3 linked regions of the Cricetulus griseus genome follow. The protein of the gene in region 1 purifies or fractionates together with the protein of each later gene. This does not show direct contact. Links are inferred from orthologs where the notes say so. Each region holds a gene or a part of one and is shown in the gene's direction. Other genes may lie near its edges. The genes, in order: Kcmf1, Acot9 and Abhd10.

Region 1 (10,614 bases):
GAAGAGATGCCCAGGCAGTGGAGTTGCAGGCATCTGTGAAGGGCCAGACCTGGGTGCTGTGAACTGATCTTGGATCCTCTGGAGGACCAAGCACTGTTAACCACGGAGCCATCTCCCAGTCCCCGTGGTGCTTCTTTAATTGTCTTTGAGACAGGGCATCAATATAGCTTAACCTGGTTTTGTCTTGACGCCATCTCCAGAGTGCCAGGACAGGCATGCACCACTAAACCCAAGTCTTGCTTTGCTTTCTTTTTTTAAAAGTACTTTTCAGACATCTCCTGATGAGGCTGGCTGGCCTGGAACTTGCTGAGTAGACAGACCTTTTCTTCTTTAACAAACCCCACAGAACTTAATTTTATTTATGTATATGCACCACATATGTGCAGGTGCGTGTAGAGATCAGAAGAGGCCATTGGTGGCTGTGGGCCACCTGAAGTGGGTGCTCTTAGCCATCTCTCTAGTCCTACTTTGGGGGCAAGATCTCATATGTGGCCATAGGTAGCCTGGAACGCATGTAAATCTGGCTAGCTTTGAACCCACAATTGTGTTGATTCTGCCTCTTGAATGTTGGAATTATAGGCTTGAGCCACTATGCCCAAACACTATTGGTTCTCTTGCTGAAGGACAGTTTTATTGTGGCATACGGTTCTAACTTCTGACAAGCATATCCAGCAATGTAAAGAATTGCAGTCACAGTACAGAATATCCCCATCATCTCAGAAGTTCTCAATAGACAAACTAGCTCCTCAGCTGCAGGTAATTGCCTGTGTGATTTTTGCCCATATGATTTAATTTCATACTTTAAGGACACATAGACACTTCCCCCAATCTTTTTTTTTTTTCTTTTTTAAAACAGGGTGTCACTATGTAGCTCTGGCTGTCTGGAACACCAAGGGAGACCAGGTTGGCCTCAAAGTCAGAGACACTTTCGTAAGTGCTAGAACTAAAGGCATTCACTGCTTGCTATGCCTGGCTCACTTCTCCCAAATCTTAATATCTTACAGAACTACAGAAAAACACAAAAGCCAAAAAACTGTGAGCCACGGCCTGACTCACAGAAGTCACAGTGAGGGTGACAATGGGAAGATATTATATACTGGACTACAGACTTTATTTGAATCTCATTATAATGTATTTGACTGCTTGTTTTAAAGAACACAACTGGGCCATCATCCATGAACATAGATTAGCTTGGTAAAGACACTTGTTACTTACAAGTGACACAGGACAGATCAAAGAAGCATAGGAGAGACAGTGCTAGGAGGAAACATTTCAAGGTGGGGGAGGGGAAGCAAGTCAGCATTGGGAACAGGAAGATCTGGAGACTTCAAGGCTAACCTGGGGTACTAAACATCAACAAAAACATCTTGTAAGTGGTTGAGCATGGTGATCTGTGCCTGTAACTCCAGAGTTTGGGAAGCTGAGGCAGCAGGAGAATACTAAATTGGAAAAAAATCATTTACTGAGCAATTTGGCATAAAGATTATACTCTCTCTCTCTCTCTCTCTGTAACCCAGGCTTGCCTTGAACCCACAGCAAATATAGTTTTTTTTTTTTTCTAATGGCATTTCCCATATGGCAGCAATGCAAACAAGTGATTTTATTTATATTTATTATTGCTGTTTTTGAGGAGGGTCAGGCCTTGAATTTTGTGTGAGTGCATGAGCATGGAGGTTGGAGGACAATGCATAGGAGTTTTTCTCTCCTTCAACATATAGATCCCAAGGATGAATTCAACAGCAAGCTCCTTCAGTTACCCAGCCAGTCCAGGCCTGGAACATCTGAGCTGAATTTACAGGAATTTACCACCACCCTCTGAAGAGGCTGGGCTTTGTTTTGAATTTAAAGGCCCAACCTCTGACTAAGTTGATAAAACCTCATAGCTATGGTAATGATCCAGTCTAATCTTACTGGAATAGAAAGTTTCTTATGCTTATTCTTCCCAATTGAAAACAGCGAATCAGAGAACTGATGGTAGTTCCTTGGAAGTCAGACAGAGCTGCATATTTGCTCCCATGAACAAGACTGGCTAACCCTTCAATACAATAAAACTTGTCTTTCAATGTTTCTGTGCCTTAGTAATATTCATACCCATAATACTGAGTTTCCTATATATTAGAACTTTTTCCTGTACTAGGTGTACACACCACCTCCTAGGTCCAAGTCCCTTCCTCTTCCTAAATAGTTTCCTAGTTTCATGTCCAATTTTTCATACTTACTGGTTTTCCTTTCTGTAGGTGTTGCTTTTGTTGGCCACCCTAACTGTTCCGGCATTTTTACAGGACTGCTTAAAAACTTTGATATAAATTTATATAAAATCACCATTCAGTTAGGAGAGTGGTGTATGTGAATTGTTAAAAGCCTGATTTTCAGTTAGAGAAGTTCAGGAACTAGACTAATACTCCAAATCCTTTGCCAATAACTTAAAAATGATTAGAAGGATCTTACCCACTAACTGTGTCATTGTTAGGCAGGCCAACTACCAACCCTGCTCTACCTATGTAACCCTTACTTTTGTTTAGCTTGAACCTCTTCCTCCAACATCCGTGTCCACACATGAAATGGGACTATTTCTAGTGATCTAGTCCTCATTTAAACCCAAGTTAGGTGGGAGTGTGATGGAAGATGCCTGTAATATCACAACTTGGGAGGTGGGGATGGCAGGAAGATCAGGAGTTCAAGGTCATCCTCGGCTACATAAGGGATTCATGCACAGGCCTGGTTACATGAGGTTCTATCTCAAACAAAACCCCCCAAGTTAAAACAAACAAACAAACAAACCCAAAACCCTGGTTTATTTCTCAGTGATAACAGCTATATACACACAAGTTCCTTGGGCAGATGGGGGTGATCTACTAAATATTTCCTCGAATTAAACCTTTTAATATTTTTTAAAAAACAGGCATATCTTAAATCATATTCAATAAAACATTGTAACGAACAGGGTCCTTCCTCTGCCAGACAGCTTACATACTAAATCTTGGTACTGTACCTCTTCTGCATCTATTTAGCTATGCCCTTTCAGAAAGCCACGGAAGCCAAGGCAACCAAAGCTTGAACCGGGCCACACAGTCAGTGGAGGGTGGGCAGATTAGGAAAATCGCCAAAGCAAGCGGTCTTCTGGAACCCTGTTTCAGTAAACTTAGCTGGGAACTTTGTCCAATTCCGAGTGGACGAGGACAAAATTCACTACCGAAAGCGAACGAGAAGGAGCGGAGGCACCGCAAGGTTAAGTCACTTGTCCAAGGTTACACCGTGCATATCAGCACCAGAGTCCAGGGCTGAACAGGTCTTAACTACAGGGCGCGATCTCCCTACGCCACGCCACCACTGACACGTGGTCAGGGGTAGTCTGAAGTATTTGCTGAATTAGTAATGCCTGAAAAGAAAGTTGACTGTGAGGAACCTGGGTGAGGCTGGCGGAAAGGGCATACACATCTACACACGCCGCACAGAAAAGCAGTCCACGAGCAGAAAGCAAAGCAGCCCCGAAGCCCACCAAGTTTTCCCCGCAGCGCATTCGGGCGGGCGGTGGCCGGACGACCCAGCCCAGCCTTCAGCCGGGGTGGGCTCCCAGGCCTCGGCCGCGGCCTCCCCGCGGGGCCCGGGGGGACACGCAAGCCCCGGAGGCCCGCACGACCGCCCTTCCCTTCCGAGTTCCCCGCTTTCAAGGAGCACACAGCAAGCACATGTGTGTCCCCGAGCGGTCCGCGATGGCCCGGCCGCCGCGCGCGACCGGGCGCTGGGGAGCCACCTCCGGGGCGTTTCGCGTCCTCGTCCTCCCACGCGCAGCGCGGCGGGCCCGCGGCTGGGCTCGGGTGCTGCGGGACCGCGGCCGGGCCGCCGCCGAGCACGGTCGCCCGCCGGCCGCGGGGCCTCGGGGCGGCGAGAGGCGGGGCGGGCGGGCGTGCGGGGGAAGGAGGCGGAAGAGGAGGAAGAGGAGGGAGGGGAGGCGGCGCCGAGCCGGGAGACGGGCGGGGGGCGGCCGGGGGAGGGACGAGCGGGATTTGCGGACGCCGCGCCGCTGCCGGGAGCCGGCGGGGGCCCAAGAGTGACGAGTCAGGGCGGGCGCGGGCGGAAGCGCGGCCGCGTCGGAACCCGCCTCCTGAGGAGCTAGCCGGCCAGGCCCGGCCCCATTCCCGCCCCGCGCCGCCTCCCGCCGCCGCGCCGCCGCCGCCGCCGCGGGAGCGCTCCCCTGCCCACCCCGCCCCCGCGGCCGAGCCCGGGAGTCGAGTGGGAGTCGGCCGGCTGGGCGCGGGCAGCGCCGGGAGCCCGCGGTGGGGGCACACTGCAGCCGGGAGCCCGGGAGGGGCCGCGCCGCCAGCGTCTGAACTAGGATGTCCCGACATGAAGGTGAGAGCCGAGCCCCCGCCCCCACCGCCTGGGCCTCGGCCTACCCCGCCCGGGGTCCGGGCGCTGCCGAGGCAGCGGGCACCGGCGGGGACGCGGGCCGAGCCCGAGTCGCGGGGCCGGGGCCCCGAGGGGACCGTGGCCCGAAGAGCGAGCGACGAGCGGGGAGCGGCGGCCGCCAACCGTGGCTTGCGGCGGCGGCCCTGAGCTGGGCCTGGAGCCGGAGGCGGGCGGCCGGCGCGGCCGGAGGCTTTGCACTGTCATGGGCGGGAGAGGGGGAGGGGAGGCGGCAGGGCCCCGTTTACCGGCGGGAGCCTGGCTCTCGGGACACATACCGGACGCCGAGGCCTGGCCGGCCGGGCCCGAGGGCACCGCGGGGCCCCGGCGCGGCCTAGCTGCGGCGGCTCCCGGAAGAGCTCGGCGCGGTGGCCAAGCCGGGTCGCGGCGTGCGGCCGCGGCAGGGGAGTGGGGGTCCGGGCCCAGCGGACGCGTCCGGGGTCCGGGAGACTACGGGCGAGCGGCCGCCCCGCCTGAGGGCCGCGGCCGTGCGGGCGGGAAGACGCCGCGGCCCGGGCAGCCCTCGCTGACTGGAGCTCGCCCGGCCTCGCGGTAGGCCTCGGCGCGTCCCTGGGCTCGGGTAAACCAAGTTCCCGGGGCGGATCCAGCCCGGCCGCGGCGAGCAAACTCCCTGCTCCGTCACCCGGCTGGAGCGGAACTCGCTCCCGGCCAGCCCCGGGCCCTCACCCGCGTGCGCTGCCCACCGAAGCAGGCTTACGGTCGGGGGCGTTTGGACTTCCGCGGTGCCCTGTGAAAACACGCTAGGGTTCTGTGGCTACGAATCAGACCCCTCACGTCTCAGCCCCACGGCACAAAGGCACAAGTGTTTGAAGGCCGAAGGATAGGCGATGAACTGGTGAAAAATAAGTTAACTTGAATTTACTACCATATGGTTTAGGGAGGGGGAGGGGGCTATGTGCTCTTTGTTTCACTACAGCAGGTTTTACATTAAAAAGTAGTCACCCGACTTAGTGAAAAGTTTATTTCACTACAGTTAATGGAAGATTATAGAAGTGACTAGAAAGTTTCCTGTCCTTTGAATTCTCAAGACCTGGATAGGTGTTCTGGGAGTGGAGAAAGTTTGTGGAGGTAGATTCTAGGGTGTGCTTCACCGAGGAAAGGTATTCTTAGGGAAATCCAGACCATGGATTTTCTAGATTGTAAAACTCTCATTGATTAACATATGTTTAGGGCAAGTTTGGGAATTTGCATACCTAATGGCAAGACTGAAATTGACTCCAAACATTTTAACAAAGAGACTTCTTGGAGCATTTTTGATTACTAACTGTTCAAGTTTTGGAATAGCAGGGTACTTACTTTAGCCCCAATCAGGAACAGAAATTTGGAACTCTGTTCCAACATACCATTCCGTATGCTTAATGGGAATGTGTCCCTTATCGCTGTAATTTGGAAACAGTTGTAATTAAGGTTATAATCAATTCCATTTGGAGATATTAAGGTTAGTTTAAATTGCAGCAGTAGGTGTGTTGACCGCCTTCAAGACAAAATGAAAGTTAGCATGGGCTGCAGGCTCTAATTCAGGAACTAGATTAAAATAACAGAATAATAATCTAGAGAGTTACGTGTCTGAGATCTTTGCCCCTCCAGATCCAGAATGTTCTTAATGAGCAGTAGCCTGGAAAAAAGAGTCCTTTACCCTCAGATGGTGTGTTATCGTAATTAAAATGGCTTAGGTAGATGTAATATCCTTTAATAAAACACACTTGTAATTTAAGTCTGTCTTTCCCTGTTTGCCCCTGGAAAGTGTGCTTTTATAAAACTTGTGTTGCCTTTTAGTTACTTGACATCTTGAAATCTGCAACACCTTTCTTGTCAACTTAATTTCAAATGGGTGTGTTGAAGATGTTGTACAGTGTTGTACAAGTGAGTTTGTATTTATATAGGTGCGTTAACTAAGTTTAGTATTTTGTTTATTTACTTTGAGGTAGGGTCTTATTAAGTAGCCCTAGCTAGCCTGACCACAGATTCTGCCTGCCTCTGCCTTCCCAAAACTATAATTAAAGTTGTGTGCCAACAGACAGTTACAGTTTAAGGGTCTAGTTTTGGCCTAGTGCAGGGATAATAGTTTCAGTATCACATCTGTCCTGGAGATATGTCTGTGTTTTGTAGTATATTATTTCAGGCAGTAATTATTTTCATCTGGATGAAATATAGGGTGCAATCCCAGGTTTTTACTTACCTCTCTCTTCTTTGGGCCAGCTAAGCCTGTTTCTTTCAGCTTTGTTTTTCCAAGTCAGGGTTTCTCTGTGTAGCCCTGGTTGTAACCCAGTCTATAGACCAGGCAGGCCTTGAACTCAGATCTGCCCAACTCTGCCTACTGAGTGCTGGGACTAAAGGTGTGTGCCACACTGTCTGGCCTCAACCTTGTTTTTGAGACAGGGTCATGGTACCGATTCTTGGCAGGCTTGGACTCACTATGTGAACTAGGCTGGCCTCACTTGCTACCACTCCTCCATTTGCCTATAGCCACCTCCCTCTTGTGACACCACACCTAGCTTAGCATTTTTTTTTAGTGGTCTGATTTTCTAGCTCTTTAATCATCTGTCTTCAACATTCTCTGCTGTTGTTTTCCTCCGGAGTATGACCCAGAACTGGATGTAGTAGTCTAGTGCAGGCCAGAGCTGTGCCGCCTGTAATGTTCTTGCCTTCTCCTTGCTTTTCCAGGCTTCTGTGCACAAGTAACTTGTTACTTTGTCTTCTCCCAACTCTAACCAATTGCTCTGTAGTATACAGATGATGTAACTTTGGACCACACAGCCCCAAGATGAACACCTGTCAAGATCAAGCACTGGACTGCTCTGAGAAAAATGGATGCAGCCAAGGACACAGAGAAACGCTCTAGGCCAGGGTTAGCATACATTCTCCAAAGTAAAGGGCCAGGTAGGCAGTGTTGTCGGCTGAGCCAGCTGTGAGATCTGTCACTAGAATGGTTGTGGCAATGTTCCAATTAAAACCTTATTTATGGACACTGACATTTGAATTTCATACAATTTTCATGTGTCATGAAATATGATTCCTTGAAACCCTGCCACTATCACCACTTAAAAATGTAAAAGCCATTCTTAACCAGTGCAGCCAGCCAGTCAAGAACTGGTGGTAGCCACAATTCATCCAAGCATTGGCGTTTGCCTGACACTGGCCTTCAGTAGAGGTTTAGAGTTGGGCGGCCTGGAATTGGTGGGAGACCGTACCCTTAGTATGGCAATATTTCCATTGGGTCATGAGCAAGTGCAGGGACTAAGCTAACTCCAGCACCTCATGAGGTAGCACCACATAGGTTGGGAGAAGGGATGGGGCATAGGCTCCTACCTTTTCAGGAATGTGTCCATGGCGGTGGCAGTGCCCCACAACAGTGATGTTCCTGTTTTCTCTGTGACTTCACTGGGGAGAATTGCAAGGCCTCTTTTCACTTCATTTTGAAATGTGCTTTTTATATTAGCAAACATTTCCCAGGTGGTAGCATCCAGTCACTTTATGTTCTCTATAGCAACAATATCTAGTTCTGTTTCTTACACACCAAACCCATTGGTTGTCTGCTTTCTGTGTTTAGTCTCTGATCGGGGCTGCAGCTGTTGTGGCTCTGCTTCTTGTTCTTTTTGAGACTGGGTCTTAGGTATCTCTGGTTGGCCTTGATGACCAAGAGTGACCTTGAGCTCGTGATTTCTTCCTTCCACTTCCCCGCTTACAAGCAAGCCTAAATTACGGGAGTGTAAGGGCTTGAACTCTGAGCTTCACACTTGCTGGGTAAGCATGTACCAGCTAAGCTGCATCCTTGGTTTTGCAGTGCATGGTTAACCTGCGTCATAAGGCTCTGGATTCCACCACCAAAGGAAAATAAAAATAGTGTCAGGTATGTGTCGCTTGGCTATTAGGTATAGCCACTCTTCCAATAAGACTGGAGGATCCCCTGAGCCTAGGAATTTAATGCCAGCTAGTTCCATCCAAAGAAAAACAGCAAAACATTCAGGCTCGGGCCTATATTTCCAGTACCCTGTCAGTAAGTTGGGATAAAAGGTTTAGAGGTCCAGGCCATCCTGGACTACATAGCAAAATCCTGTGTCTTACACACACTCCATCTTAATGTCATGTTTTTGTAAACAACATATTTGAAATGTATGCGATTCAGAGTTTAAAAGTCAGGAAATAGCTTTGTAAATAAAAACCTGTCAGATTGTCAGCTCATTATCTCAGTTATGAGTCTTCTAGTTGGTTATGTGAGTTAATAGAGAGCTTTAAATCCTTGAGCTGTTTTGTTACTCTGTAAAATGTACTGCTAGGTACTGAGGGATGTGGGGAATAAGGAGACATACACAGCCTTTCCTTTAAAGCCTGGTAGGAGATGTGCTTTTGTAGACAGTTTCCGAGGAAGCACTCCTGAGAAGGGTCCACAGAAAGAGATAATAAGCAAGTGGATGCCAAAGTGTACGCAACTTTGTTCATGCCTCTTTGCTCCAATTTTAACTTATTTAGTGTACATGAGTGAGGGAGGGTATGTTTGAGTTGGGGTAACTTAAGAAGTCGGTTCTCTCCTTTTGCTATGTGGGTCCTGGGTCAACTCTGCTCACCATGCTTGAGTGGCAAATGCCTTTACTTCCTGAGACATCTTGCCCCGTTTTGCCCAATTTTAGAAAGGGAATCTATTTTGATTTTAATATCTTTTGGTTCCCCCTTCCTTCCTTCCTTCCTTCCTTCCTTCCTTCCTTCCTTCCTTCCTTCCACACAGGCTGGCCTTGAACTTCTGTGTTTCCACCTCAAGTTTTGGGATTACAGGTGTGTTCATTACTTTATGTACCAACTTTCAAGTACTTTTTAAGCTTGTTCTCTGATACTCTTTATTAAGTAGATATTGCATGTATTTCTTTGTTCAGGAAAGGGGGTGGTCAGAGGGCAACTTTCAGAAGTGGGTTCTCTTTTCACCTTCACAGGAGTCCTGAGCTTCAGATTTAGATTGTTGGGTTTGGTATAGGCGCTTTACTTAGCTCTGCTACTGGCAGCCTTGCTACTGTTAAGTTTTCTGAGACAGGGTCTCATACAGTTCTCACTGGCCTTAAACTCTATTTAAAGTTCAGAGACTCTGAACTTCTGATCCTCCTGCTTTCACCTCCTAAGACCGGAATTACAGGTGCACACCACCATGCTGTGTTTATGCAGTGCTGGTGATCAAACATGGAGCCTCATATATGCTAGGCAAGCAGTCTACCAACAGAGCTACAACCCCCAGTCTTTTCTTGTGCTGCCCTTGGCAAGAGATAAAATGGCTTGAGGTGTCCTTACATTTATTAATTTGCTTGGGTGATTTGCAGTGAGTTCTGAGGATGGAACCCAGAGCCTCCTACATGCCAGACAAAGGAATTACCATCAAATTAATACTTAGGCCTTTTTAAAGTTTTGATACTGTCTTCCTTACTGTGAACTTATTCTGTGTCCCAGGCAGGCCTTCAGCATGTGTTTCTCCTGCTTCAGCTTTCATTGTAGCTGGGCTTGCAGGCCTGTAACACAAGGCTGTCTTTACCTGACTTCTGTTCCACTAGCTTTTTGAAGGTTTTTACTTGTATAATGACAGTGGATAGATGGGACAGGTGACAAATTATTGTTACTTGTTTCTCAGAGACATCTAATACTGTTTGCTTACAAAATATGAAACACAGAACTATATAAGTCATTAATCTAGTTAGTATCAGTTTATGGGCTTTTTTTTTTTTTTTTTTTTTCAACACTGGGGATTGAACCCAGCTCTCATGTACACATGCTGTAAGAGCCTTGCCATGGGGCAACATCCCTAGCCCTCAGCTTTGGTTTTCTGAGACAGGCTCATGCAGCCCTAACTGGCCTCAAACTTGATGTGTCGCTGAGAGATGACCTTGAACTCCTGATCTTCTTGCTTCTGCCTCCCAAGTGCTGGGGTTACATGTGCCATTATACCTTTTTTTATTGACAAAAATTAAGTATTAACTTTTATCATGTACAACATGATAAATGTGTGTTGTAGAGTGTCAGTTACAACTTCTTGAAAGTTGTGTCTATTTGTATATTTTTCAAATACTCTAGTACTAAACACACATAAAGACAGAGTAAATTGAATTTTTTTTTTCAGATTATCAAGCCAGGTTTGATAATTGGCATGTCGTTTTACTTCCCACTGAAAAGATCAATGCCATCGTGTCTTAGTTAACTGTGTCCAAAGAT
Region 2 (10,281 bases), on another chromosome or scaffold:
ATAAATGTAGCTCTCACTCCTCATCAAAGAAGCTTCTCTTTGCATCAGATAGAAACAATAACAGAAAACCACAACTGGTTAAAATATACAGAAAACTTATTCTGGAATGCCCATCCCCAGTGGATAACACAACTCCTGCACATAAGGCTCAGGAACACTGAGGAAGAATGAAAGGGAAGAATGTAGGAACCATCAGGCCACAAAGTCTGATGTGAGATTGCATCTGCTAATAATGATGGGGAAGGTGTACCCACATACTACAACAATATGACTGCCTAAACAATGAGAACACTAATTGACATGCTAATGTGGGAGGGGAAAATATCAAGGGGCCCCATCACTAGACAAAGGACTGCAGGCAATTAAGGGATGCTGAGAAAGGGTGAATTAGTCTTTCCCATGAATGAGCCTTTTAATTGGTCAGCCATAAAATCATCCACATACAAGCAACACTAAATAAACTCAACATGCTATATTTATATATTTGTGTATGCATATATATATGTATGTGTAAAAAATATGCATATATTTGTGTGTAATGATAATAATAAAAATAAAGAGGCTCTGAATTTGAGAGGGAGGAAGAAGATGTGTAGAGGGATTAGAGGGAGGAAAATGAAGGAAGAAATGATGTAATTAATGATATTTAAATTCAAATAAAAATATATAAGCAAAAACAATGAGAGGGCTAGAAAATGGATTAGAAGTTAATGGAATTGTGGTATTTTGAATAATAATGGCCCTCGTAGGCTCATATATTTGAATGCTTAGTCACTAGTGAGTGGCAATATTTGAAGGATTAGGAGGTATGATTGTGTGAGTAAATGTGTCATTGGGATGGGGTTTGAAGCTTCAAAAGCCATGCCAGACCTAGTCTCTCTCTCTCTCTCTCTCTCTCTCTCTCTCTCTCTCTCTCTCTCTCTCTCTGTGTGTGTGTGTGTGTGTGTGTGTGTGTGTGTGTGTATTTGCCTATGGATCAGGATGTAGAATTCTTAGTCACTTCTCCAGAACCATGTTTGTCTGCCTGCCACCATGTACCCTGACACAATGATCGTTAGAATACAGTGTATGAATGAAGCTGTGTGAGAAGAATTCTGATTGCTTGTAAGAAAACATGACAAGAGTCCTGTGACCTCAGTCTTCCAAAGCATAGGATTGTCCTTGGAATATGCTTTTGTGCACCTCCCAGGGTCATGATGTTGCCTTGGTCATGATATCTCTTCACAACAATAGAATAGTGACTAAGATAGGCAGGCACTATTCTTACAAAGGAACTAAGTTCAGTTCCCAACATTCACATCTGTTGGCTGACAATGGTTCACAAACACCTGTAACTCCAATTCTGGACTTCACAGGCACCTGTTGTCACACACACACACACACACACACACACACACACACACACACACACACACCTCTAGATACACACACATGATGAAAAACTTAAAATCTCTTCCTGTAAATAAATAAAAGTTTGAGAAAGATAATGTGTTTCAGATGGACATTCAAACCTACTTCTAAGATGGTTCATTCACAGGACTAATAGAAATAATAGAATAATAATTCCTTAACAGGAATAATAGAAAATTAACTAGGATGGTCTCCTAATCTATTCTGTACCCTTTCCAAACCCTTTGGCAATAGGGCTCAAATACAAGACCTTACACATGCTAGGCAAATACTACCACTGAGCTAACATCTCAGCAACATGGCCTCCCTTTAATTTATTTTGAGACAGAGTCTCACTATTTTGTGTTGGCTGACTTTGAACTCATTACAAATCCCAGACTAGCTTCAGAACTTGTAATTCTCTCACTTCAAGTCTCCAAGTAGCTGATATTTCAGACATGTGCCATCACATCTGGTTCATGTAGATAATTTTGGATTAGCTATATAATATGGGAAGTAAGCTAATTTTAAAAACACAGTTTCTCTAGCCTATGAAATTATAACATAAATTAGTTTGAAAGTGGATGCCATAGTCTCTAAGGAAAATTATTTATTTAAACCAGATACCCAAAATCTATATGGTTCAGCATCTCAAGGAAATATGACTATTAAAATTTTTTGATCATAAGACATGACTAAACTATAACATATAATCAGATTTTGTTATGCATTGTTCTACTTGTAGTAAAGACATTGATAATGTACCTGTCAATCTATCATTAGGTGTTTTGAAATTTTCATTACCTGTGGAACACAAGTAAGAAAAATGGTGAGTTGGCAGATGGGTTGTGTAAGGACAGGGATTTTCACCATTACACAGTTGTTACATGTTTCCTGTCTGGCTTTGTGACTACTTTGCCTCCCATCCCTGATTTTCAAACTGTGATGCATAAATGCCTTACAATAGCAATAAGAACAACAATGAGACACCAGGGTTGCTAAGACATCAAAAGAATTTAAAAAAAATGTTTTTATGTGTATGAGCCTTTGCTTGTATGTACGTAGGTATTTATGTGTACTATGTGTGTGACTTGGTATGTGCAGAAGCCAGAAGAGGCCACCAGATCCCCTGGGATAGTTTTGCACTGCATGTATGTGCTGGGCATGGAACCTTGGTCCCCTGCAAGAGCAGCAAGTGTTCACGACTGCTGAGTTGTCTTTCCAGCCTGGTTAAAAATTGAGATAGAGACACATATGAATGCTAGGTTGGCTGGTTTTAACATGGCTTCCCTGACTTTAGAACTAAGATAAGTGAGCCAAGTATTGAAACTTTGCCCACTTTAAATATCATTTGTAGTGGAGTCTATGGGGTTCATTGCTCAGGCCTTTTTTTTTTTTTCCTAAAAAATGTTTCCTACTCTCACCAATGGTCACTAATTCGAACATCTATATTAGTAGATTGTGACTCAGGACCTGGCCATTGGCCTGGGTGAGGGAATTCCTGTTAAGACCTTCTCACAATCGATTCCTCTAGGAATGTGCCATCATGCCTAATTCCTGAAGATTTCATCTATTCTGTCTTTTTTTCCTCCTCATTTGGTACTGGACTGGAACTTTCTCTGTCGCCAGGCAGATTGTGAATTTGTGATCTTCCAGCTTCACTCTCCTTGGTTGCCTGGATAACAGGCACGGGCCACCCTTCAAAAATTCTCTTCAACTTAGTTTTTCTCCCTAAGCATTTTTTAAAACCAAAACTTCAAATAAAAACAGGAACAATATTTCTTATGGCTTAGAACTCACTTTAGCCCAGGCTGCCTTCTAATTGGAGGCTATTTTCTGGCCTCAGTCTACCTATTGCTCGCAGAACAAGCATGGTACCCATATTTTGGAAAGCTGCTCAGATGATGCCAAGGGCAAGAACCACGGACTGGCAATAAACCTGCAAGAGTCAAGGACTAAATCATTCAACTCCAGCAGAGGTTCACCCAGCCAGTACATCACTCCGCTCTGACGAGTTGTGCGGAGTGGTTCATTTCCTTAACAAAGGAGGGAAGAGTCCAGTCTGTTAGTCTAGGACCCCACCTAGCTGATTGAATGGGAAGTTCCATTAACTGCGTCTCCAGCTACCCGCCAATCAGGACCTTCGTTCTCTACGCGGTAGTCCCGCCTCCGGGCAGCATAGCCCCGCCCTTCCGACAGTGAGGCCCCACCCCTCCCGGGTGCTCTTGTGGCGTACTCTCCAAGGTGGCGAAGCAAGCAAGATTCGGTCCTGTGCAGTTCTTGGTGTTTGGAATCAGGCTCACACTCAACGCTCTTCTGTCACCTGTTTGCCTCTGCCCAAGAGTGCGAGTGACTCGGTTGTCCACCCGTGGCTAGGCAGTGGATTGCCATGAAGCGGGCAGCGATGCGGTAGGTGGCAGTGTGTGGAAGGGCTTAAGAGGGGCGCTGTCCTGGGATGCCCACGCCTTTGCCGCGCAGAGCGGGGCGGAAGAAGCCTTGGGCGGGACAGAAGCGGTGTTTGGCTTTACAGGAAAAAGCACCCGCAGCCCTGAGCTGGGCCCACCAGACAGCCTAGTCTGGAAGAGTGCCGCCCTGCTTTAGTGACAGCTGGCACTCTTAAAAGGGAAGACTCAGGGTGTTCCCTTGAAATTCCTATCCCTTTGCTCACCAGGGGTGTGGCTGGAACCTTGGGGTAGCCTCCTTTCCGAAAACAAGCCAGTCAGTATTTTCAGTTCCACTTTGCCTTGCCTTGCCAGCCCTTTTCTCTTTGAAAAACATTTTGGAGGTTACACACTTGACACACTTGGAATCTGACTTAAGTAGGTTATCACATGTGCAAAGATTGTAGAGTACCGTTTGGCTCTCACAAGTTGATTCATCTGTTTTTATTTTTTAGATTTATTTTTATTACTTTATATGTAGAGTGTCTTCCTTGCATGAACGTCTGTGCACCACATGCATGCCTGGTGCCTGAGGAAGTGGTGAGCCTCCATGTGGGTGCTGGGAATCAAACCCAGGTTCTTTTTGCAACAAATGCTCTTAACCACGTAACCAACTCTCCAGCCCCTTGTTTATTTTTGAGACAAGGTTTCACTATGTAATCTTGGTTGCCCTAAAATTCGATGTGTATATCAACCCGACTGGCCTCACACTCAAAGAGTGCCTACAGCTTTCTAATGCTGGGGTTAAAGATCATGTGCCACCACTTCCGGTTCACATCTGTATATTTATTCATTGGTTTGGGAGAAGAAGAACTAGCCGGCCTCATACCCCTGACAGCGCTTCAGCTTTCAACTTTTCTAAAATCTATTGGGACTTACAGATGTACATTATCATGGCCAGTTTAGAACATGGCTTTGAGAAGTAGAAAGGTGCTTGCAGTGAAAGTGCTTTCTTGGACCACTTTCCAACTGGCATAGTTAAGGACTAAGGTCTTTAGACTGTAGGGCATATCTGGCTGTCCCTAACCCACAACATGCAGGGATTTTTTTTCTCTTGCCTGGTTTCCAAGAGATGACGCTTGCTCTAGGTTCAGAAATCATCCTGCTGTTGGTGAGATTGACCTTGACATGTGTCCCACTAATTCGATAGGGGTCTCTGATCTGCCTTTATTCTTCCTAGGAATCTTGCTATCAGGTGAACCAAGTGGGTTATCTCACCATCCACCAGCACCTAACATTTGTCAAACTATTTGAAGACAGGTTCAAAGCCATTAAAAGAAGGGCATGATTCCTTAGACTTCTACAGGTTTTGCTGCCTTGCCCTTGTGCCTTCTTCCATAAGACCTTTAAAAAGTGTTGCAAAACTTTATTTTCATGTGTATGAGTGTTTTGCTTGTATGCATGCATGTGTTGCATAAGCATGTCTGCTGCCAGTGGAGGTCATGAGGGAATCCCCTGGAACTGGAGTTAAAGATGGTTATGAACCACCATGTGAGTGCTGGTCGCCAAATCCAGGTCCTCTGCAAGAGCAAGAAGTACTCTTCACTGGACTAGAGAGCTGGCTCAGTGACTAAGGGTAGTGGCTGCTCTTCCAGAGGAACCAGGTTCAAGAACTCCTGTTGCAGGAGATCTGACCTCCTCATTTGGCCTCTTCTGTCACATGTAATTCACAGACATACCTGCAGGCAGAACACCCATATACATAAAAAGAAAATCTAAAAATTTTTTTAAAGAAGTGGTTGTAATTATTGAGCTATCCTTCTAACCCCCACAACACCTTTCCTGAGCTCTTCTAGCAGTTCAGAAGTCCTTCCTTGCACTCTATACCTTTGTGTTCCTTTCTTGTTAGTCCTATTGAACCTTCTGTCAATGTCTAGTAGAGAAGTAATCCCTACGTGAGTATAGGCTGTCTGAACTGATGAGGTTATTTGGTGTTCACTTGTGTAGCTTCTTCCCAGACACATATGAGTCATGTCACTTGATTTAGTCTCCATGTTGAGGTATTTTCTCAGAGTTCTGGGCATATGAATAACTATGCCTGTGCAATTGCAGCTGAGGTGTAGCCCAGGCCATCACTCACGTTAAGCAAGTCCTCTTCCACTGAGCTAACAACCCCCCAAGGCTTGAACTATCTGATAATATACTGACAATTTTTGCCATTTTCTCCATATTTAGAACCTAAGATGCAGCCAAGCTGTTTCTTTTCATAACTTCAGGTGACTCTGTAGCTCCCTAGGCAAGCCACGGAGAGGCTGAAATTCTCTGTACTATTTCCTTAGAAATGTTCAATCTTAGGGTCCTTTGGCCTGAGTATCCTAAAGGACCCATGACAGTTTCCTCTAAAAGCCTAGGGATTTTGTTTTGGTGCTCCTGGGGGCTTATCAGAGATAAGGAAGAGCACAGTGCTGTTAAGAGATTTTGTCATTATACAACACCACCGAGTGTGCGTACACAAACACAGATGACACAGCCTAGACCACATGTTATAACTTACAGTTCCTGGACTGGAAACCTATAGCACAGTACCATATTGAATGGTGTGAGCAGTTGTAACACAGTGGTGAGTTATTTGTATGTCTGAAACAGAAAGATGGAGTGTTACTATGATGCAGAAAATAAAAAAGGTGCACTCCTTTATCATTAATGGAGCTTATGAGATTAGAAGTTGGTCTAGGTGAGTCAGTTCAAAACACTAATATATGGATACAGCTGTTAAACAGCCATCCCTTTTCATATCATTGTTCTATAAGTCCTTTTTTAAATTTGAAGATACACAGTTCAGGGACTAGAGAGATGGCTGTGTGGTTAAGAGCACTTGCTGTTCTCCCAGGGGATCTGAGTTCAAATCCCAGAACCCATGTCAGACTGCTCACAATCACCTGTACCTCCAGCTCAGAAGAGTCCTTGCCCTCTGCCGGACCCCACAGGCACCCACACACACCAACATGCATGTCCACATATCCACATACAGACACATACCTCTACCTTTTTCATGTTGCAATTGCAGGCATGTGCCACCACCCTTGATTTTATGTATACTGGAAACTGAACCCAGCACTCAACCAACTCAGCTATTTGCTGAGTTGAAACAGTTTATTTTCATAGTTTTTTGAATTGCCTTTGAATATATTTCCCATCTTTTAAGGCTGCATACAAAACTTATGGCTGTGAGACTGACTTTGCAAATAGGTTGACTCAGGTGTCTGTATTCAGTTACCCCTTTTTGTGTTACTGGGGTGTGAACTCAGGGCCATTTTGTCTTTCAGTTAATGTTAGCAATGGAAATGATTAGCTTTTCTTTTTGCAATGGGTTCTTCATATTTGTGTGTGCATATTGGTGGAGGTGTGTGCGCATGTATGTTTGCAAGTATGTTTGTCTCTTTGCATGCAAAAACAAGAGGAGGCCACTAGGTATCCAGCTCTATTCCTGGCCTTATTCCCATGAGACAGGAGCTCTCACTGAGACTAGAGTTCGTCATTTAGGCTAGTCTTCCTGTCTCTGGGGTTATAGGCACCCAAACAGCCACACCTGAATTTTTATATGGTTGTGGACATTTGAACCCTCTAAGCTATCTCCCCAATCTCTGCAGTGGCTTTTATTTAAAAAATATTATTGTGTGTTTGTATAAATACTTGCATGATGTATGTGTGTGTGTGCATGCATGCCAGCTTTGTGGAGTCAGTTCTTCCCTTTTTACCTTTCTGTGGGTCCTTGGGATTGAACTCAGGTTGCCAGGATTGTGACTTTATCACCCTCTATCCCATGTATGTTCTTTAAAATTTGGTGTGTTCTGTTTCGGAAACCTGGTTTATGAGATAGCAGGATACAGGGATACATAACCTACTTCTACGAGTAATAGATTTGAATTTATATAAAAATGTATACAATGATGAAAAACAGAACATCTAAATCATGTTGTGAGAAAATTCAAATTTGAAGGCAAAGATCAAGAAGACTAGAACATTAATCCGTGTAGAAAAGTACAGAAAAGGGAAAGGTTACTGTGTGAAAACAAAAATGTCAAGTGACTGGCAGCCATATTGATGAAGAATAAAGAGGGCATAAAGACTAAAGTCCTGCAGTGAGCATTTCTGTTTTAGTGGGCCAACATGGATTGTGTCACAGCTAAAGAAGATGACAAGGTGGCTAAGGAGTTAAAATTTCCAGTGAGCAAGTATGCATAATTATATATTCTTTTGCAGTTGAAATAATTGGCTTGGTGAATGGTAAAAGATTTATTCTAGCAGCACATAATTGTCAACTATATGTAGGTAGATTTTTACAAAATATTTTTACTGAGTGACTTTCACTGAATGCTGTAACTCAGTAACTTGCTCTAAGAAAAGGTGAAAATGTAATGTTTTGGTTAGTCATTATCCTGATGTTATGTAGTAAGAATTTGCTAGTAACTTGAGCTAGAATAACTTGACAGTGTTTAGAATTCTTTCTCCCTTCAGTTAGTTTTCAGCTTTCACAGATTAGTTTGTTAATTTCTAGTGTGAGTGTGTGTGTTTGTGTGTGTGTGTGTGTGTGTGTGTGTGTGTGTGTGTGTAAGGGGGGTAGGGGAGGGAGAGATGAGAGAAGATCTCATTATTTAGCCCTAGCTGTCCTGGAACTCACTATGTAGATGAGGATGGCCTTGAACTCACAGGGATCTGCCACCATGCCAGATTGATATATGTTATTACCAATATGGAAGAATGTAAGTGTATATAAGTCTATGGTTGTCAACACTTAAGCAACACTGAATTAACATCAGCTTATCCGTTTATCCAATTTATTTTAGAGAGGATTGGTAAGGCTCCTTTGAGTACGTAGTTTTTATTTTCTTTCATTAGGGTCCTAGGAAATTTCGAGACAAGTCTAGTAAGTACTTTTCATTGAGTGCAAAGGGCTGATTCAAAGTTCAACAATGATTAGCTGGTAATTGAGTTGATCTTACTTATTGAGGAAATATGGTGTGATAATAAAGAACAAAGAATGTACTAAAGCTGGTGTGTGATTGGGTACTCTGGAGGAGATGACACCTTGCAGATTCCCAGAGAAGCAGTTCTGGAAACTTACGTATGCTTTCTCTTCTTTTCCAGGCTTTGTACCTTGAACAGGGGGCTTTTTATTCATGGCAGAGGACTGACTCAAGGATACCAGTACACCCCAAAACAAGGACCCTTACACATGCGTGAAGGCAAGCGTGATTGTGTTTACCTTTTGTGCCTCCATGATGAGCAAGCCCATTTACCTTGGGCTGTGCATGGAATCATAGCAGCAGTAATGAAATGTGCATGTTAAAGATTGACTTGTAATTAATTACATATATGTGTGGGTGGGGTGAGGTGTGCACAAGAATACATGTGCATGTGGAAGCGTCCTTTCTCTTTGGAGTTACAGGTGGTTCTGAGCCACCTCATACAAGTGCTGGGAACTGAATTAGGGTCTTCCACAAGAGCAGTACGTGCTCTTAACCACTGTGTCATCTTGCTATCCCTGAGACATACATGTTAATTGTCAGTGTTTCGTAAACATCACATATATAACATAATGAAGAGAGTTGCATAATAGCTAGAGGTAGAAATCAGAGTGAGAATCTGAGGTGTTCTTAGTAGCCTTTGGGGACTGAGATGTTTCTTTTTTTCCACTTCCTGTGTAGAGCTGCAGAAGACTGGAACAGAGATATAGTCATGAGGAAGAAATGAGCCTGCCATTTGTATCAACCCAAACACTCAGCTGTAGTTTTGTTAGAGGGACTTTGTTAATGGATGCTTAATTGCACTTAGTTTCCCTTACTAAATATTAAATGTGATGTGTCTTAGAAATTAGAAATACTCATACAAATTAAAATTGTCACCTCTTTAAAGGCTCTTAGCAAAAGAGAGAACATGAATATATCTCAAATTGAATTTTTTTGGCTCTCAGCACCTACTGCCCTTCACACTGACAAAATGAGTGAGAACTATTCATGTCAGTGAGCATCAGTAGTCTGTATAGTGTTTGGGCTATTTTTATATACATTCTTTTATTTGGGAGAAAATTCAGAAATAAGACTAATTTACTGATGGCTATGTTTTGCAATTCTTTATGATTTAACCATAATTCGTGTGTGTACCAAGTATGCGATGTACACACAACAGTCAAATAGAAAATCCACTGCTTTCATGAGACTGTATGTTGTTCTTACCATAATTTGGTTTTGATCGTTTAGTTGTTGAAGGACCAAGTATAAGTACATTTAATTTCTCATGACTGAAATATATATTTTGAAATGCTAGAAAAAACACATTATTTGAAATTTTGTATGTTTATTTTCTAATTTCAAATGACTGCCGATTGTCTAATTATTTTCCCCTTTCCATATAGCATGCTCATCTATACATGTGAATCATGGTATGTGGTCATTAGTATCGATTTTTCCCTTCAGCACTTATATTTTGTTTTAAGCTAATTCACTCTTGC
Region 3 (10,340 bases), on another chromosome or scaffold:
TTCTTTGTAGGAAGTAGCATTTTATAAAAATAAGCAAATAATGACATAGAAGGCAACAGATTTTTGACATTTTGCCTTAGTTTTTAAATACTGCCCGAAAACCAAAGACATGGCTGGACTCCTCTTCAACATCAGTGTTACTCTCTAACTACACTTTAAAATGGTATTTTGATGCCAACCCTGTAGTGTCCCTCAAAGAAGCTACTATGCATAGATCATAAACCACTTTCTTAAAAGAATTAAAAAATAAAAAAGCTTCTGTTTTAAGAAAAGGCCATTTCAGACAACAGAAACCTGTGACATCAGGTAGTTTTTAGTAAGGGGAATATTTAGTGGGAGGAGCCTGTTCTGTTGAAGATTTGCCCATTCCTGGTGCTGAGAATAAAAGCAACCAGTAGCCAGTTTCCTCCCGACTGCCCAGTTCCTCCTGCTTATGGGCAAGGCTTTTACCTGTGCCCTCCCGTGGATAACTATGTAACCATCACTGTTTTGCTGACAAACAGAACAATTAAAATATCTTGTTTTTTGGAGACAACCAAAATTCAAGTTAACAAACTCTATGCTATATCTTTTTACATATATCTTTACAAATAGCCTTGTTTTTAGAGATAATTTTTGTTGAATGAAATGACTTCAGGCAAGTCTCTTTTATAATCATTTCCCAAGTGCCATTTATTTTAGTTTTTGTGTTTTGTGTTTGTAAGTATGAATGAACTCTTTCCTAAAACATGCCAAATGGATAGAAGTAGAAAATAATGACATTACTTACTCGTACACATGAAATGATTAGAAATGTCCATAAAACTTTGTCAGGCCTTACTGGGTACATTTTTTTTAAAACTTACAGTGTACTTTTATACCTATGTACGTGTTACCAATAATAAGATTTTTGCAACTGGATGATGCAAGATTTTACTTGAATAATGAGGGACAAATATCATGACTGTAGGAGGTATTTTTCATCTGTGATTTTTGCATCAGTCCCCCTTCAATTCTAGTGGTCTAAAACATTAAAATGTAATTGCGAAGATTTGGTTGGTTGATGTAAAGACACAACTTTTCTGTACTGTACTTTCTCCATAGGATTGTAAGGGTGTTCTAATCAATTTGCATGTCTGAACCTTTTAGATATATGTGTGTTAAATGTATTGAGTTTGGATTAAAATGTTGACCTGATTTCACATTTGAAAGTAAACTCTTTCTTTCACTTTGCAATCACCTATCTGTACCATAACAGAGGATGAGTTAATCACAAAATTTGACAGTAGAATCTACATAAAGTTTGATATGTGCTGACATTATGATTAGAAATTCATAAACTAAAATAATTGGAAGCCTCTCTGGCCACATTTCTATTACTGACAAAATGAGGTAAACAACAAAAAATGTTACATATTATTCTTATCCTTTTGTATTGATTAGCCATTACTTCCCTTAAGGGTATAATGCAAATGTGAAGGAAAGCTCTGAGGCTCCACTTCGTGGGGACCTCTTTCTTCCTGAGGTTAAAGAGAGAAGCTGCCTTCAAAACAAAACAAAGCAAAACAAAAACAAAAATGTCCTTTTACTTTTGTATGCTGATGGAAGGAATAATGACCAAAAAAACCCAAACTGCTTTACTTTAAGCCTATTACTGTCAGGGAAGGTTTTTTGACAGTGCCACAAAGCCACTTAGCTTCCTGATTTGTTTTGCTGGTAAGAGTGCATGCATTGAGAAAGCACTCCATGGGTTTTCCCCCTTCTATATATATGTACAGTCCTTTTTTCATTAGGATAATTTACATGATTTTTGAAATTCTGCTACATATAAAGTACAAGGAGACACTGAAAATAGAGTAGAAGAAACCGATGGGGCTAACAATATCAAGGATAAGTTTTGCTGTAAGATACAAGAGGTAGCATTCATTGGACATCACTGCCTTTGTGATTCGGTCCTTTGATGACTACATCTGTTCTGGTCCTCTCTCTGAAAGGTCCTATATCCAAAGTGTCAAAATAGGTCTGTGAAAACTTCGGCTTTGACCCTGGCCACGGATCATGCCAATGACTTGAGACACAGTGACAGGAAAACAGAGTTTTATTGACACCAAACCGGCAGGTGGAAGCAGAAGAGCTTCCATTCAGAGTCCATGGGACTTGTGGGGTCTCACGTTAGCATATCCAGGTGGCACCTGCCTACTTCACATAGTACTGAGCTCTCCTGAAGTTCCAATGCTGTTCACAGTCACCAGGAGTTCCTCTAATCTAAAAAGGGAATGTACAGCTATGATCTGTTCCTTAATGTTTTCTCATATTTCCAGGCAAAGATGACTTTAATTAGTTAATTTAGGAATGGGACATAGAAAAACGAGACAAAACCAAAATGATTTTTAAAAAATAAATAAATAAATAAGATCTATTTCGTTTTTCTCCACCAAGCTTCTCCGGTATGTTCTAACAGATCATTTTCTCAAGACTCCAAAGACAGGCCTGGCTTTGCTTTTAACTCTGGTACTTCTCCCAAATCTTTCAAGGGATGGTGTCCAAGTTTGCATCTGTCATTGCGATGCATGGCATGACCAAAGGCAACTTAAGGGAGAAGAGGGTTTATTTAGCTTACAGGTCACTGTTCATCACTGAGGAAAGCCAAGGCAGGAATTCACGGTAGTGGCTTGAAGCAGAGACCACCAAGGAATATTGCTTACTAGCATGCTTCCAGGCTCACAGTCAGCTACTTTTCTTATACAGCCCAGACCCACCCATCCACCTTCATATACTGCTCCTGGTGGGCTAGGCCCTTCTACATTAGTCAGCAATTAAGAAGATGCCCGACAGAAGTGCCTACAGGCCAGTAGGATGGGTGTGGGCATTTGTCAGTTGAGGTTCCCTATTCCCAGATACCCAAAGCTGACCAAACCAACCAAGACAAATAGTAACACGGTTTTACCTAAAGTATTGCACTAAATACAATAATTTCAACCAGAATACACAAGATAAGGCATATACTGAGTGATACTTGATCTCCCCTACCATTACTTTGAAGGATGTCAGAATTTAGAGACCCTATTATCACAATTTATTTAATTATTTTTTCTATAGCCATTGATTGTTCCCCACCTTTTTTCATCTTAAAAAAAAAAAAATGTTGCTGTCATAGGTAATACACGACCTTAGGAACTCGTGTTTTTATGTAGCATAGTCAAAGGGGGGGGGGACGGTAGTTCAAAGAGTACCGAAAATTATGCGCATTGTAATAAACATGAACAGATTGCCTGACAAAAGACTTTAGATTGTCACTCACCTAGCAACCAATGTGTTTCTAGTATCTTTGCTTATGGGTGCTCGTTTGAATTTTTGGCAATCTGGTGAGTGGGAAAATGTTTGGGGGAGAGCAAGAAATGCTGGTGTTACTTCAATGATGTGAATTTATGATAAGGTTGCCTCTTGGAAACCTTTCCCGCATAGGCTGAAACGGAGCGTTGGGCACTGGTAATGCCAGAAGCCTAGCAATTTTTGTCACAGGTCTTTGGGTCCTCCGGATGACAACATGGTTTCCCTTCTGTGAAGGTTCAGTTTGGCCCTGGCTCCTCGCCGAGATTTCCGCAGCTTACAGTGAAGAAAGCAGGCCAAGGCCGCCCCAATGTCGCATGCCAAATACCCTTCGGGGAGACGGAACGGCCTGGCAGACAAAGTGGCACAGTACTCACCACCCTGCGCATGCGTCTCCGCGCAAGCCGCAGCTCCCACGTGACGCAGCTTAGCAACCTCCGCCTCCCCGCGGGCTGCGCGCGCGTGACCTCGGGACCCGGTGACCCGCGCACGTCCGTGGCGGGCGCCGGGGCAGCTGGGAAGATGGCGGCCTGGGTTCCTTGTCGGAGGTGGGGCTGGGCGGCTGCGTTCTTCGGCCGGCACCGAGGCCTGAGCGCGTCGCTAGCCCGGAAGACCCCCCGCGCATGGTGGCTGCCAGGTTAGTGTAGGGAAGGCTGGCACTCGGCCTCTTCCCGGCGTTCGTCCCGTAGCCGCAGACAGCCTGCTTGGCGCTCCATTCAAAACTGCTCTGAGGCTTTCTGGGCACTCTGGACGCTTTTGGGGAAGGCTGGGGACAGTACTTTCTGCTGAGGCCCCGGGGCGTTCTTGGAGGTTCTTGGCAGCGTCTTACTCAGCGATGTAAGGAGCTTCTGTGGTCTCTGAATCAAACGTTAAGACCAGGGGGGAAAAAAAAAAAATCAGATGTGCATGTAATCGTATTTGGGTATTAGCTGCTTCTGGCGCTTTGCATATCGTTACTTTGGTAAACGCTTAGTGCTGCCCAGGGTTGACTTGAGGAAATAGAGTATGAGGCATGTTCTTTGTACATGTAGATGCTATCTTTGGACCTAATATCTGATTTTTCTTCTGGAAAGAACTATAATTGCTTCACAATGAAAACTAGAATTTGTATTAATATTACATACATAGAATATATGGTATATATCATATATTCAGAATATATAGATATAGATATATATATGTATCTGTGAATGATATCCTTGTTGTGCCTTTTGCAACTTGCCACACAGCTGTTAGATAGATGCATAGAGTTTTGGAAGAGTAATGTCGTTGTATAAATTAGCATGGTTAAATTTTTTAAAGTATGTAACCAGTTTAATTTACACTGCACATGAAAAACAAAAACAAAAAAAAACTTGACTATTATGTAATCTCATCAAAGTATAGTATTTCAATTTGTTAGCAAGAATAAAATATTCCTTTATCTCTTTAGCGGTATTCATTGGCCATATATTCATCAGGCTTTCCTTATTATATAGAGATGATTTATGTTGAGTCTGTTGTTTTTTTGGTTGTTTTGGTTTCTTGTTGTTGTTTTTGTTATTTTGAGACAGGGTTTTCTGTGAAACAGTCCTGGCTGTCCTGGAACTTTTTGTAGACCAGTCTGGCCTCGAGCTCACAGAGATCCGCCCACCTCTACTTCCCAAATGCTGGGATTAATGGCATGTGCCACCATTGCCCGGCGAGCCTGTTGTTTTGTAGCTCACAAACAAATCAGTAATAACTTCCTAGGATGAAATTCATGTGTTGGGAGGTAATGTCTGAAAGGTGATAAAAGGATTATTTGTGTGTTTAATTAAGGAAATGGGGAATGACCATTGATACTGATACAATCCATTGACCAACACAAACTGATCCCCAGAAGCTCTGTTTTTCACCAAGTTTTAAACTTGGCATATATTTCCATACTCTGAAACTTTGGATCTGGTTGGCAGGTAAAGGCGATAGCTTTAATGCTTTTGATTCTTTGTATGCACTCGGGGAGGGTGCATGGTTTGCTGGTGTTAGTGAGACAAGGTTTCACCATATAATCTCTGGCTCTCCTGGGACTCGTAGTGATCCCTTTCCGCCTGTAGCTCTTGAGTGTTATGGTCAGTGGGGTGCACCACCACACTAGACTCTCTAATCATCTTTTTCAAAGAAAATAAACTGAAAAAAATTGAAAATGGGAGAATTTTTAGCATTACACATGGGAGAGACCCAGAAGTTTCACTAACCACACACAGACTGTTTATTCTTTTAAATGAGGGCTAGCAAGGACAGCTCAGCAAGTAAAGGCACCTTGGACCCACAAGGTGGAGGGAGACAACTGTGTCCTTAGTTCCTCATAGATGCATAGCATGTACGTGCACACACTAAATGAGTAATTTTTAAAAAAGTTTTTAAAAGAAAAGATTTATTGGCCCAGAAAATGACTATTCAGATGTATTCAAGCCTGTCTTTGGAAGAAAGTGTGACTTTATTTTTTTAATATTTATATGGCTTTGATTTTTTAAGTGTTGATTTTATAATGGGAAATTAAAACAGTGAACTAGATTAGCCCATCAAGATTCACAATTTGTCCTGATATATTTAAATGTGTACCATTTAGAAAAAGCCAGCCAACAAAAGTAAACACACCAATCAGAGTTGTATGAGAAGTTATTTTTCCAAGAATGATACTTGATACAAAGTTATTTTTTTTTAAAGACAGCCTTTTGAAACCCCAGTTGGTAGGAAATTACAGTGGTTTCTTACCTGTTTCTTGATATTCCTGGGGAGGAATAGGTCAGTGGTACCTAGTCAAAAAGAGCTCAGTACTAACAGCATCATCCCTTCCTTGCTAAGTACTCCCCAGCTCCTGAATATTGTACCTCTGCTTCCCAGATCTAGGATTGCCTGTGCCTTCGATTTTGCCAGTTCTAAAGGCAGAGGAAAGGGAAAAATGGAATATACATGTTCTTCTTTTCCCCACTCATATGTCAAAAAGTAGACAACATGAAACTCCTGAAACATGGTTAAAACAGAGAGAGGAGAGGCTGTGTTGTATTTAAATCTTAAATCTTAATTGCTACTGTTTAGGATAATCCCGAGGCACCAACATGAAGGTATTTTTTTGATGAGTCTCTCTTTTGTTTCACTGAACTTTCCACCTCATTGTGTATTTTGGAAGAGTATGATTGGGCCTTGCTCTAAGAAGGTAAATTTTTTTATGTAACTTTAAAACTAAAAATCTCATGCACAAAGCCTATTTTGATTTCCTATCAAATGCAATGAGTTAAGAAAGTTAAGATTTGAAAATATATGTGACTTTCCCAAAATAAATTTCAAGCTATAATTCATGCTTTGTGTACTTTGTTTAGCTTGCAGACAAAAGGTATCACTCTCTTTCCTCAATCGAACAGACCTTCCAAACCTGGCTTATAAGAAGCTAAAAGGCAAAAATCCAGGAATTATCTTCATCCCTGGCTATCTTTCTGATATGAATGGTACCAAGGCACTGGCAATTGAGGAGTTTTGCAAGTCTCTAGGTCACGCCTATATAAGGTAGGAATAATACATTTCAGAGGTTATATTACCATTTAGCATTGTAATGAAGCCAACTGAAGTAAATGCCAGCATTTGAGTAGATGAGTTTATTTTAGTAGTGTACAAACTTTGATCTTGTGGTTTAGGGTCTTTAAGGTCTTTGTGCCAAGCTGGCTGGATTGGCAGGAAAGAGCATCATAAGAGAACTACCAACTAGTTCTTTAGATACAGTAATCTGTGTGGCAAAAACATGTTCTCATTGGGTTTCTTATAGTCACTTGTTATTATGGGTTACGTCCTAAGACATAGGACTTATCTGATCACTGTTTATTACTTTCTAAAGTAGGCATTTAGGACTGAGAGTATAGCTCAGTAGAGCATGTGTTTAGCACAAAATCCTGAACTTGATCCCTAGCACAACCCACACACACACACAAAGTATTTTTAAAAGTAATATAATAGTGTAAGATTGATATTGTATAATTTACATTTCTGTTTTCTTTCTCCTTCACTTATATAATCTGAATGTGTTTGAGCATAAACAAGGATGGGTAGTGTTTAGTTAAAACTTAATTTTATATTTATTCCTTTTCACTCAAATATTTTAATGAAAATATATTGATGTAACAAAATTTGTTAGGTTTATCAAATTTTTTGATATTTTACTTTGAAGAAGGGAATACAGTTCAATGGGCAAAACATTGGTAGAATTGAAGAAATAAGGATTGAAGGCCAAAACTGAATCTCAAATCAGTAATACACAGTAGATAGAGGTTTGTCATCCAGTAGAAGAAGAGTTTGTCTTCCAGTAGAAGGATGGACTAAAGATAACTTATGAGTTCTTTTCTACTACAAACAGCCTGAAAATCTATTCATCTAAATGTTATGAAGAATAGTCTCGCTAATACTGCTTCAGTAGTTCTAGAAAATACAGCTACATTAAAACTTTTAGGCATTATCTGTTCAGTATTTTTGCAGAAATTATGTTATTAAGGTAGATTTAGTCCATTTTCCTTTGTCAGACTAGCAAAGTTATTTATTTTCATTCTCAGAACTATTTTTAAATCTCTTGACTTAACTTGCCTTGAAGACTGGAGGTGAATAATGTATTAAGAATTATGAAACACTGTACTTGCCCTAAAGCAAGGAGTGAAAATACATGCAGGTTATTAGGCAGAAGTACTCATCAGAATTGCTTCAAAAAAAAGAAGAGATTACATAAGGTGAGAGATCCTGAGGAGGGAATGGAAGGGCAAGACTTTACAAAGGGACTCTAATGTGGGAAATTACCAATATGGAGCCAGGTAGAAATACAAGGGAATTTAATAGGGAAAAGCCTTACTTACAGAGCGACCTAGCCAGCAGTAAGTACAGCAAGCCAAAGATGAAAGCCAAAGAAGGGGCTGCCACATGAGTGTCCCTCACTCTTAAACCTTCCCTACATCACTCTGACCACCCCCTCGCAGGCATGGCTACAGCATCCACTACAGGACTCTGGAAACAATAAACATGTGGGGAGAAGGGCAGTTCTGTCCATGGAGAGAGACCGCTAAGGAGAATGTACTTAATTATCAGGAATATCGCCGTCATTGCTTTTTCGTCTGAAAAATAATAAAGAAATGGGCATTTTAGGACTGGGGAGATGGCTCAGTGAGTAATGCAAGTGTGAAGACCAGAGTAGGGATCTCTAAATCCAGCCATGTAAAGGTGGGCTGGGTGTAGCCGCCTGCCCAGAATCCCAGCATTTGGGAGTCAGAGAAAGGGAATCTCCTAAGCAAGCTGGCTGGTCAGATGAGCTGCGACAGTGAGCCTCAGACTATTTGTATAAGGTGGAGAGTGATCAAGAAAGAGATTGGCTGTCAGCCTCTGGCCCCTGCAAACATGTGTACATGTGCCTGTGTACCACATACATACACAGGTAGGAACACAGCCACATACAGCAAAACACATAAAAATAGAAATCACCAGTTTACTGATTCTTCAACTTCATTTGAAGCTATAGCCAGCTCCAGGTATAATGTAGTTTCTTGCATATTGGATGTCATATAAATATGTATTTATAAACTAGCCCTTTCACTACAGATTGTTTAATCAAGTTCTTTTTGTATAGCATTATAATATCAGTGAGTGTAGCAGCCTTCCAAATTCACTGTGTGTGTACATGATCATGTGTGAGCATGACCATGCATGCATGTGGAAGCCAGGAGACAACCTTGCTTGTTGATTTTTCAGTAGTCTTCCACCTTATTTTCAGACACAGGGTTCCTCTCGCTGGTTTGAAGCTTGTCAAGTAGGCTGGACTAGCTGCAAGGAGCCCGTGGGATCCACCTGTCTCTGCCTCTGTGCCTTTGAGCACAGGTTCTGAATGAGGACAGTTCACTAAACGAAGTAGTATGGCTTAAAGAATGACTAGGCGTTTGGGGAGTTTTTGAGGCAGTAGAATGACATGCAAAAGCTCATAGTTATAAAGTGGTTTGGCCAGGAATTGGGAGTAGTTTAGAATGACTGGGGATTTTGATAATTGGGGGACATGGTAGGATACTTCATAATTTATTGAATCGGGACCTAGAAGGAAAGTTAAAATTCAGCGATTAGACAGACTTTGACCTTGGATCCCTAGGAAAATTTAGAAGGAGGAGTTCATGGTGAAGTTGATTCTAGTCCTAAGTAGCAGTAAGTGCTATGAAGAAAATAAAGCAATACTAGTACAGAGCTGTGAAAGAAAAGCAGTTTTAGCATATGAATGGTCAGAGCCCACTTTTCATGAGATACAGTGTTTACAAGCTAAAGGACTGAATGAGGTGAGGGATATCTAATGGATGTCTGGAGATAAAGTATGCCAAGTAGAGGAGAACGTTCCTGTTGCAGAAATGTGGATGGTGACACCGTTAACTTCAAGAATGAAAGTGAGAATTCGGTTGGGAGGGAAAGAGATCTCTAAAATGAGGTCAGAGTGGTAGAGTGGTAGTCAAGGAAGTGCCGTCAGGGTTTTGAATTTTATTAAATATACAAGGCATATATGATGTGGGATTTCATTTAAAAGGCTCATTCTGACTCCTGTCTAGGAATAGGTTATGAGGGTGAAATATAGAAATGACAAGAGATTTAGAAAACTACTGCATTGGTCTAATTGAGATCATAACTTGGACTAAGGGTAGAATACTAAAATACACGCAGAGTGATGTTTTACTGTAGTTTAGTCATTGTAGTAATGAAGAATGTCCTACTTTGCTTTAAAAAAATCAAAGAAGCAAGCATGGACAGATTTCCACATGCAAACATTTAGGTGTAAGTATATGTTTTGCCTTCTTCCAGGTTTGACTACTCAGGAGTTGGAAATTCAGATGGTAACTTTGCAGAATGCTCAGTGGGGAAATGGAGAAAGGATGTACTTTCTATACTTGATGATGTAGCTGAAGGACCACAGGTAACTGTTTTGTTAAGTAGAATGATTTTTGACTCAAGCAATAATTGGTTGTTTCTTTAGGTAATGTTTTGTGAATTTTGATTTTGATGAACAATTT

What was found.
Region 2: the proteins of Kcmf1 (region 1) and Acot9 purify together in Homo sapiens (affinity purification with mass spectrometry; 3 studies listed by BioGRID and IntAct, with this or other methods). This does not show direct contact. The link is inferred for Cricetulus griseus from reciprocal best matches to the Homo sapiens genes KCMF1 and ACOT9.
Region 3: the proteins of Kcmf1 (region 1) and Abhd10 purify together in Homo sapiens (affinity purification with mass spectrometry; 3 studies listed by BioGRID and IntAct, counting the BioPlex papers as one, with this or other methods). This does not show direct contact. The link is inferred for Cricetulus griseus from reciprocal best matches to the Homo sapiens genes KCMF1 and ABHD10.

What each region holds. Positions count from the first base shown.
Region 1 is NC_048601.1:64,623,412-64,634,025, reverse strand, and holds the start of Kcmf1 (E3 ubiquitin-protein ligase KCMF1), read left to right. Parts: upstream 1-4,160; 5' UTR 4,161-4,337; coding exon 4,338-4,353; intron 4,354-10,614. UniProt on the Homo sapiens protein: E3 ubiquitin-protein ligase which accepts ubiquitin from an E2 ubiquitin-conjugating enzyme and then transfers it to targeted substrates, promoting their degradation by the proteasome.
Region 2 is NC_048604.1:90,715,025-90,725,305, forward strand, and holds the start of Acot9 (acyl-coenzyme A thioesterase 9, mitochondrial), read left to right. Parts: upstream 1-3,579; 5' UTR 3,580-3,778; coding exon 3,779-3,798; intron 3,799-8,918; coding exon 8,919-9,016; intron 9,017-9,478; exon of another isoform or gene 9,479-9,707; coding exon of another isoform or gene 9,708-9,789; intron 9,790-10,185; coding exon 10,186-10,212; intron 10,213-10,281. UniProt on the Homo sapiens protein: Mitochondrial acyl-CoA thioesterase. Catalyzes the hydrolysis of acyl-CoAs into free fatty acids and coenzyme A (CoA), regulating their respective intracellular levels. Regulates both mitochondrial lipid and amino acid metabolism.
Region 3 is NC_048597.1:44,858,764-44,869,103, forward strand, and holds the start of Abhd10 (mycophenolic acid acyl-glucuronide esterase, mitochondrial), read left to right. Parts: upstream 1-3,769; 5' UTR 3,770-3,831; coding exon 3,832-3,946; intron 3,947-6,650; coding exon 6,651-6,834; intron 6,835-10,131; coding exon 10,132-10,243; intron 10,244-10,340. UniProt on the Homo sapiens protein: Acts as an acyl-protein thioesterase that hydrolyzes fatty acids from acylated residues in proteins.